Mus musculus: one gene and its partner. The protein of the gene in region 2 binds, or shares a complex with, the protein of the main gene of each other region. Links are inferred from orthologs where the notes say so. Each region holds a gene or a part of one and is shown on either strand. Other genes may lie near its edges.

Evidence for each region.
Region 1: Fnip1 (region 2) and Lamtor5 share a complex: the UniProt entries of both Homo sapiens proteins name them as parts of the lysosomal folliculin complex. The link is inferred for Mus musculus from reciprocal best matches to the Homo sapiens genes FNIP1 and LAMTOR5.

Annotation. Positions count from the first base shown.
Region 1 is NC_000069.6:107,281,803-107,284,847, forward strand, and holds the end of Lamtor5 (ragulator complex protein LAMTOR5), read left to right. Parts: intron 1-106; coding exon 107-224; intron 225-1,832; coding exon 1,833-1,893; 3' UTR 1,894-2,280; downstream 2,281-3,045. UniProt on the Homo sapiens protein: As part of the Ragulator complex it is involved in amino acid sensing and activation of mTORC1, a signaling complex promoting cell growth in response to growth factors, energy levels, and amino acids.
Region 2 is NC_000077.6:54,436,636-54,441,239, reverse strand, and holds the start of Fnip1 (folliculin-interacting protein 1), read right to left. Parts: upstream 3,062-4,604; 5' UTR 2,944-3,061; coding exon 2,852-2,943; intron 2,846-2,851; exon of another isoform or gene 2,333-2,845; intron 1,610-2,332; exon of another isoform or gene 1-1,609. UniProt on the Homo sapiens protein: Binding partner of the GTPase-activating protein FLCN: involved in the cellular response to amino acid availability by regulating the non-canonical mTORC1 signaling cascade controlling the MiT/TFE factors TFEB and TFE3.

The DNA of each region.
Region 1 (3,045 bases), on a different chromosome or scaffold from region 2:
AAGGCAAAAAGGCCGTGAGCGGAGTTTCTTTTTCACAAATAATTCTGGAGGAGATACTAAACTATAGGTTTATATTAATTTTTAGACACTTCTCACTATTCTCTAGGCCGTGGTACCCTGTCGGATGAGCACGCTGGAGTCATATCTGTTCTAGCCCAGCAGGCAGCTAGGCTAACCTCTGACCCCACCGACATCCCTGTGGTATGTTTAGAATCAGATAATGGGTGAGTACATACCAGCACACCCCTTTCTTTTTGTTCTGAAAAACTTGATTGGGCTTTCCCCTGCATTCAGTGGTAGTTCATTAGTCAATGCACCACAGAGCCATTGGACATCCAGGCCTCATGAGAACAGAACTTCATTAAAATAAGAACTATCAGTTTGCCACTCCAATAAAGGAAAAACAGTAAAAACACAAAAAATGATTAGCTGCATAGAATTCCCTAAAGTAAGGTCTTAAAGATATTCCTAGATAAAGATCTTTATTCAGATGCTAAGTGATAAAAGGAAGAAAACAAAACTGTGGGGCTGGAGAAATGCCAGTGCTTAAGAGCCACAGTCCCGAGGATGAGAGCTTATATACTAGTACCCCAGCACCCACACAACAAACACCTGCAACCTCAGCCCTCAGTCAGGGGCGAGGGGGTGGGCAGAGATGGGAGGATTGTTGGAGCTGGCTGTCCTCCAGTGTAGCAGAGAAAATGAGGCTCAGGCTCAGGGATAAGACCACACATCAAAGGATAGTTGCACAGTAATAGAGGACACCCAGCACCTTCTTCTGACCTCCGTGCCTATACATAGGTGTGTGTACATGCACACACCTGTATGTGCACACCTGCACAGAGATAGAGTATGTGAACCTTTAAAAATGCATACTTTGGTCAGTTTGGGGCAAGGGAAAAAGAAGATATTAATATCGATATATGTATAAATATATACAAATTAAAATTAGAACCAGGAGCCAGCAAGATGGCTAAGCAAATAGACGTGCTTGCTGCCAAGTCTGATGACTGGAACTCCATACCTGGAACCCACATGACTGAGGAGACAAACACCCTGACGTTGTCATGCAAGCAGTGGCACACATACAGACCCCCAAAATAAGTAACATAAATAAGAATTAAGAGCTGGGGAGGCGGCTCAGTGGTTGAAAGCACATGGCACTCTCCCAGAGGACCTGTGTCAGTTCCCAGCACCCACATTTGGAAGTTCACAACCACTTATAACTCCAACTCCAGAGGAACCAACACCACTCGCTGGCCTTCTCAGGCACCAGTGTGTATAATGACACACACGGACAGACACATACATATATTTTTTAAAAATCTAATCTAAAAATTAGGACCAGGAAGGAGGCTAGGCTAGTGATAGCATGTGCAAGGCTCTAGATTCTAACTCCAACAATACCACCAAAACCTCCAGGAAAAAATAAAAATCAGAATCATGTTGAGTAGTAGGGTTAAGGATTACTTTTTAAAAATTTTTTTTAATTAAAAGGATTAATTTCTTTATGTTATAATTAGATTTGCCCACAATCCTCAACTGTTCATGCCCATCTGTGCTATTTATTTATTCATGTTTCTTAGCGGAAGACTTGGCTCTTGGTTTGAGAATGTAGTCCCCTTTCTGGGTGGGAAGTATGGAGAGGCTATGGCACTAGGGGTTGGTGACGGACACCTGTCAACAGGGACTGTTCATATTTGGTTTTGTATGAGAATATAGATAAATATGCTGTCATCTAAACATAAATATATTTAAACTAAATAAATTTAATCTTACACTGAGACACATGCATTAAGAGTTTGCTGAATATTTTCTTTTTGGCTTTTCAGGAACATTATGATCCAGAAACACGATGGCATCACAGTGGCTGTGCACAAAATGGCCTCTTGACATCTGATGTCAGCTCTCCAGTGGCCTCTCACCGGGATTCAGTCATGCCTGTCTCAGCTCATTTGTAAAACTATTAAAGTTCCAGAAATAGGCCATTCAGTTAATGTCCAATGTGGACTCCCTTATTTATATGACAGCCAGTTACCAAGACATCAGTTAGAGAGGAGCAATTGTTTGGGCTTTTGTCACTCTGCTCTTTGGTGACAGTCACTGTAGTCCAGGATCACAGCCCATCATGGCCTAGAACTATGTAGCCCAGGCTGACTTCAAATGTATGGTCTTCCTGCTTTAAACACATACATCCTGGAATTAAAGCATTTGTCACTAAGGTTTAGGTCACTTTGTATATAGAACTTCATTATGGCCAATAAACCTGTTCTGAGGAAAGTTTGGTTCATTTCTGGTCTTTTAAAATTCCTACTTAATGCTCACTTTTCTTTTTTCAGTTATCAAATTGTGGGTTTTTTGGTTTTTTTTTTTTTTTTTTTTTCTCTAAAAGATCTCTATCCCAAACTACTTGTTTCTCTTTCGGTGTCTTAAAATGTCTGTGTTCTTATGCAAGGGAAGATGGATCAAATATTTCCCTCAACCTAAGTGACAAAGGACATATCATTGAGTCCTTAGTAAGACCAGAAACTTATTTCTCATTATAAAATAGGATAGGTACTCCTGGTTGTTGTGTGTAACCAAAGCCTAGGGGCTAGCATGGTCACCATCAGAACTTAAGAACTTAACTGACAGAAGGCGTGTGTGCTTTGCTTTGTTTGGTTGGTTGGTTGATTTTTCTGAGACAGGGTTTCTCTGTGTAGCCCTGGCTGTCCTGGAATTTGGTAGACCACGTTAGCCTCAAACTCAGAGATCTGCCTATCTCTGCCTCCCAAGTGCTAGGAATAAAGATGTGCGCCACCACTACCCGACATGGACAGACTACATTTTTACCATCATCCAGACCATCGAAGAAATAGGCATGTTGGATAAAAAAAATTTTTATCATTTGAGATTAATAGTGGTCTTCAGCCTTCAGTGATTCTCAAGAGATACTGCACAGCAGATGACAAGGACTGTGTGCATGCTGTGTGTGAATTCACAGTGTGTGTGTTGAGATCAGAAGACAGCTTGTGGGAGTTTATTTTCTCCTACCAGGGGTTCTGG
Region 2 (4,604 bases):
GGTTAAAGGTACTTGCCACACAAGCTTAGTGATCATTCCCAGAATTCATGGAAAGGTTGAATTCATTCACAGGGTTGCCCTCGGACCTTCACAAATACACTGTGGCTCATGTACGCCCCTCACACATCCTACACACACACACACACACACACACACAGAGAGAGAGAGAGAGAGAGAGAGAGAGAGAGAGAGAGAGCAAGAAATAACATTTAAATTAAATGTCTAATTGGTTAAGATAGTTATGTTTCTTATCACAATAAAAATGTATTAACTTTTTAAAGGGTAATCTAAAATACTGAAGAGATCTGTTATAAAAGTAACCTTAATATATTGCTACTGCAACTATAAAACAAGTATGTTTGAAGAAGTTTGGGAACTTTTTAAAAAATTAAATAAAACTCTGCACATGAGCCAGCAGCTCTACTGCTCAGTATCTATACCCAGAAGAAACAAAAATTATTTCTAATTAAAGATCTATACACAAATATTCACAGAAGAATTGCTCAAGTATCTTTTATCTGAGGAGTGAATAAACAAATTGTGAGTTGGACAGATGACCAAATGGTTAAAGTGCTCGCCCAGCAAGTGTGAGGACTGGGAGTTCAGATCCCCAGAAATCCAGAAATGCCAGGAGGGCATTCCCTGTCACTTGTCAGTCCAGGTCCATTAAGGCAAAGCAAGATGGTTTGCCAGAGCAAGCTGGGTAGCAAGATCAGAATCATAGGAACCTCTGGGTTTGACTACAAGACCCTGACTCAATAAGTAAGATGGAAGGTCAGTCCAAGTAACATCAAATTCAGCGAGCACACGCGTGCACACACGCAAAAGAATAAATACACATGAGAGAGAGGGAGAGAGAGAGAGCGAGAGAGCCCAAGAGCAAAAACAAAAGGTATGCTATATCTGTACAATAAATCACCTACTTAAAAGATGAATGGAACTACTAAAAAGGCAACATCGTAGATACATCTCAATAAACATTATTGTGGGTAAAAAGAAGCCAGACATGTGGCTATGGAAGTCATAAAATCACATTTATATGAAATGTTCAAAAAGCCAAAATATAACAAAAGAAAGCAGACCAAATTGTTCTTGGGTGAAAGGGGGTTAAGGACTGTGGAAAAGGAGGGAGCACAAGCTGACAGAACGAATGGTTGTGAAGGTTCAGTGGAGTGCTGAGTATAAACTGTGTTTGTCTGTCAGCCCTCATGGGACAGTAACCTTCCCCGTGTATTCATCTTTTATTGTATTTTAATTATATATCAAGGAAATTTTAAAAGCTGGATTAATTAGATCTCAAGTCACTAGGTATGTGATCCAGAATTCTCATTTTCTCACATTACACTTGTACACATCTTGTTTTCAAAGCAAGTTTTCACGATGAACTGCAGGTATTGGGCTTCCACGCTGGAAAAAGGATTATAAAGTCATCTCTACATTGCTACTTGCTCTATCTCACAAGGTTACTGTGAAATGAGATAACTGATGGGAAAGTTCTTTGGCAGCAGTAAAGTCTTACACAACCATATAGAACACTTACTCAAAAAGTAGATTTTGGTCACATTAACAAATTGAGACTCTTGTAATCTTGGTTACCCAAAGTCAGTCTCTGCACAGAAATAGAAACAGTGGTCTATTCAAATGTTATCTTTTAAATCTCTCTCCAGAGGCTGCTTCCCGGGTCTCTGGTTTTCCTAGGTGTCCCGGTGTATTATCTGGTGTTATCTGCACTTTCGCTTTTCAAAGGAAAAACAACTGTCAGATGACTACGGCACAAGACATTTACTTCCCATTACGAAGAAAAGCCACTGCCATGAAAATTCTTTTGTTAAGCTTGTTTCCAAAACGGTAACTGACCTTTTTCTCCCATTAAATATCAGTTAAATTACTTGCCATTTGATATTCAATCTCACACATTGTTTCCTGATGGGATCTGTATTATTGACAGCGTGGATAATTTGAAAAATATTAAAGCCTCTAAGACTTATGTAGTGCAGTCATCTGATACTTGGGCTTGCTGCAAAATTTGACACTGTTTCCCTTTTACTATTACTGTACAACTGAGTTCTCGGCCATACAGCCAAGTTTGTCTGATATGTGACATTTGGCCTAGTTACATGCGAAAGTTTCCATAGCGCATTATGGAAGACAAAACAATATCTTCTTCAAATACAATTCCACGGCTGAATTTAACCATTGAGCTAAGCTTCTATATATCTGACAATTCTAAAAAGTTACTGTACCAGCAACAGGTACTGCAATCAGAAAGAAACAAAGCATGCAATCACAAACAAACACACACACACACACACACACACACACACACAGCTACCGTTTTCCATTTGCAAGAAACTCCTTTTCAGTAACAGGTGTAAGAAGGGAAAGAAAATTCGACAGTAAGTTCTACCGCAAGTCCTCCTCGAGTCTGGTCAGTAGTAACCCTAACCACTTCGGTTTCGCATTTCTCCTTCGATAACACTAAGGTCGCTCGGCAAGAGAACTGCACAGCTCCAATTTTAGTTTCCAAGAAGCCTGACAGACCGCCAGCCTGCCCACTCGCTCCTCCAGCCTCCTCAGTGCTCCGCAGGTTGGCCGAACGCGCGACAGTCTGCACAAAGCCACCCGAGGGCTGCGGATCACAGGGAGACAGCAGCTCCCGGCCGGGCCCCGGAGGCCTGCGGTGAGGTCGCAGCCCGGGCAGCGTGCGGACCGACAGCCTCCCGAGGCCGCCGTGCTGGGGCTGGGGACGCGGCGCGTGGCGCGGGCGGGGCATAAACAGCCTAGCGAAGAGGGCAGGGGACCGCACGCCCCGCCCGAGGCCGCGACCCCTCGGGGGCCCGCGACGCCTCACCTGAACGCGCAGTCCGGGTCGCGGGCGTCTCGTCCCGGCGCGCCTAATCCGCTCCGCTTGCTGAAGAGCTTCTGGAACAGGGTGGGGGCCATGCTGGCCGCCGCAAGACTGGGGTCGCTCGGCTGGGAGCTCGCAGGAGGCCCCCCGCTCCTACCGCCACCCCGCCACCCCCATGGGCGCCTCAGTCATATGACAGAAATTAGTCACTTCAAACGGCCACGGCGCGCGGGGCGGAGCGCGAGATTGAGGTCGCGGCGATTGGCTGGCGACGAGCCGTATCACGTGGCAGCAAACTGAGCGGGGGGCGGGGTGGGGGTGGGGAGGCGGGGCCGCCTGCCATTGGCTGGCTCACGGGTCCGTCACGCGGCCTCTCACGGGGCGGGGCGTGCGAGGGCGCGCGCGGCTGGGTGGCAAGAGAAAGCCTCTGGGACCCAGGCCCGCCTCTGACCCTCCCAAACTGCTAGGGCTCTAGGAGGAGACCTAGGTCTGTGACTTGAGGTGCGGTTTCCATTGACGCCCGCACTTAGTCTCTAGGAAGATCTAGCGACTGGGGGCTCAGGCTCGATCTCCTTGGTAACCAAAAAGATCACAAGCAAAACCAAGAGAGGCAAGCAGCCGTAAAAAAAAAAAAAAAAAAAAAAAAAAAAAAAAGACATCTATCTAAAAATATCTAACCCTTTATGCTAAGTATTTAGAATTTGAAAGACTGCGGTTAAAGAGCTCAGTAGTTAGAGGCCCTGGGTTTGATCCTCATCACCAAACAAGAAGTTTAGCAAAATGTCTAAGAGAGACAATCAGAACTTCCATGAAACAAAGCTGTATATCTTTAATATCTGGGTATGAGGAAAGGAGGAACTGTAACATTGTTACCAAATGGCAAGACTGCTCTCAAAACGGAAAATACAGCTCACGAACATCCTTCCAGTCTTATCAAACCATCAGTGTTCAGATCAAATTCGTCATCCGTTTACCAGGATGAGGGATTTCGTACAGTGGAATGAAGTTCTCTGAGAAATGTGGATGAATGTGGGGAAATACTGGTGTATGTTTGCAAGGGTAGACAAAGACGCTTGAGAATTTCACTTAGCTAGACATAGGAACCAAATCTTTAAGAAGTTGTCAGCTGATCTGCAGTTGAAAAAAAATAAATAAGTAGCCCTTATTTACATGGGAAAAAGAAAAAATGCCGGGCAGTGGTGGCACACGTCTTTAATCCCAGTACTTGGGAGGCAGAGGCAGGCAGATTTCTGAGTTCAAGGTCAGCCTGGTCTACAGAGTGAGTTCCAGGACAGCCAGGGCTACACAGAAAGATCCTGTCTCGAAAAAACAAAACAAGAAAACAAAACAAAAGAATAAAAGAAAAATTAGCAGGATATTTTTATATCGTTAATAATTTATCACTGGTCAGCATGTTGAGCTGTTACAACATGTTACAAAGTCTCATGTTACAAGACTTTTTTATATTTATTGAGACAGGGTCTCTTGCTGGCCTGGAGCTCACCAAGTAGTGTAGGATGACCTTTCTGCTTCATCTTCTTTGACAGCACAAGAATCACAACCTTGCATTCCTTTGCCCATCCTTGAAGTAGATTCTGGGAATGGAATGCAGGTCTTCTTGTTCACACAGCAAGCACTTCATCTCCAGAGCTGCCTTCTGAAGGTGTTGGAGGAGGAGGGAGAAGTCTCCAGTTCACTCTCCTGTCTCCACCGCTCCAGTACACAAGACATTTAAAAAGCACTAATTATAGATAAC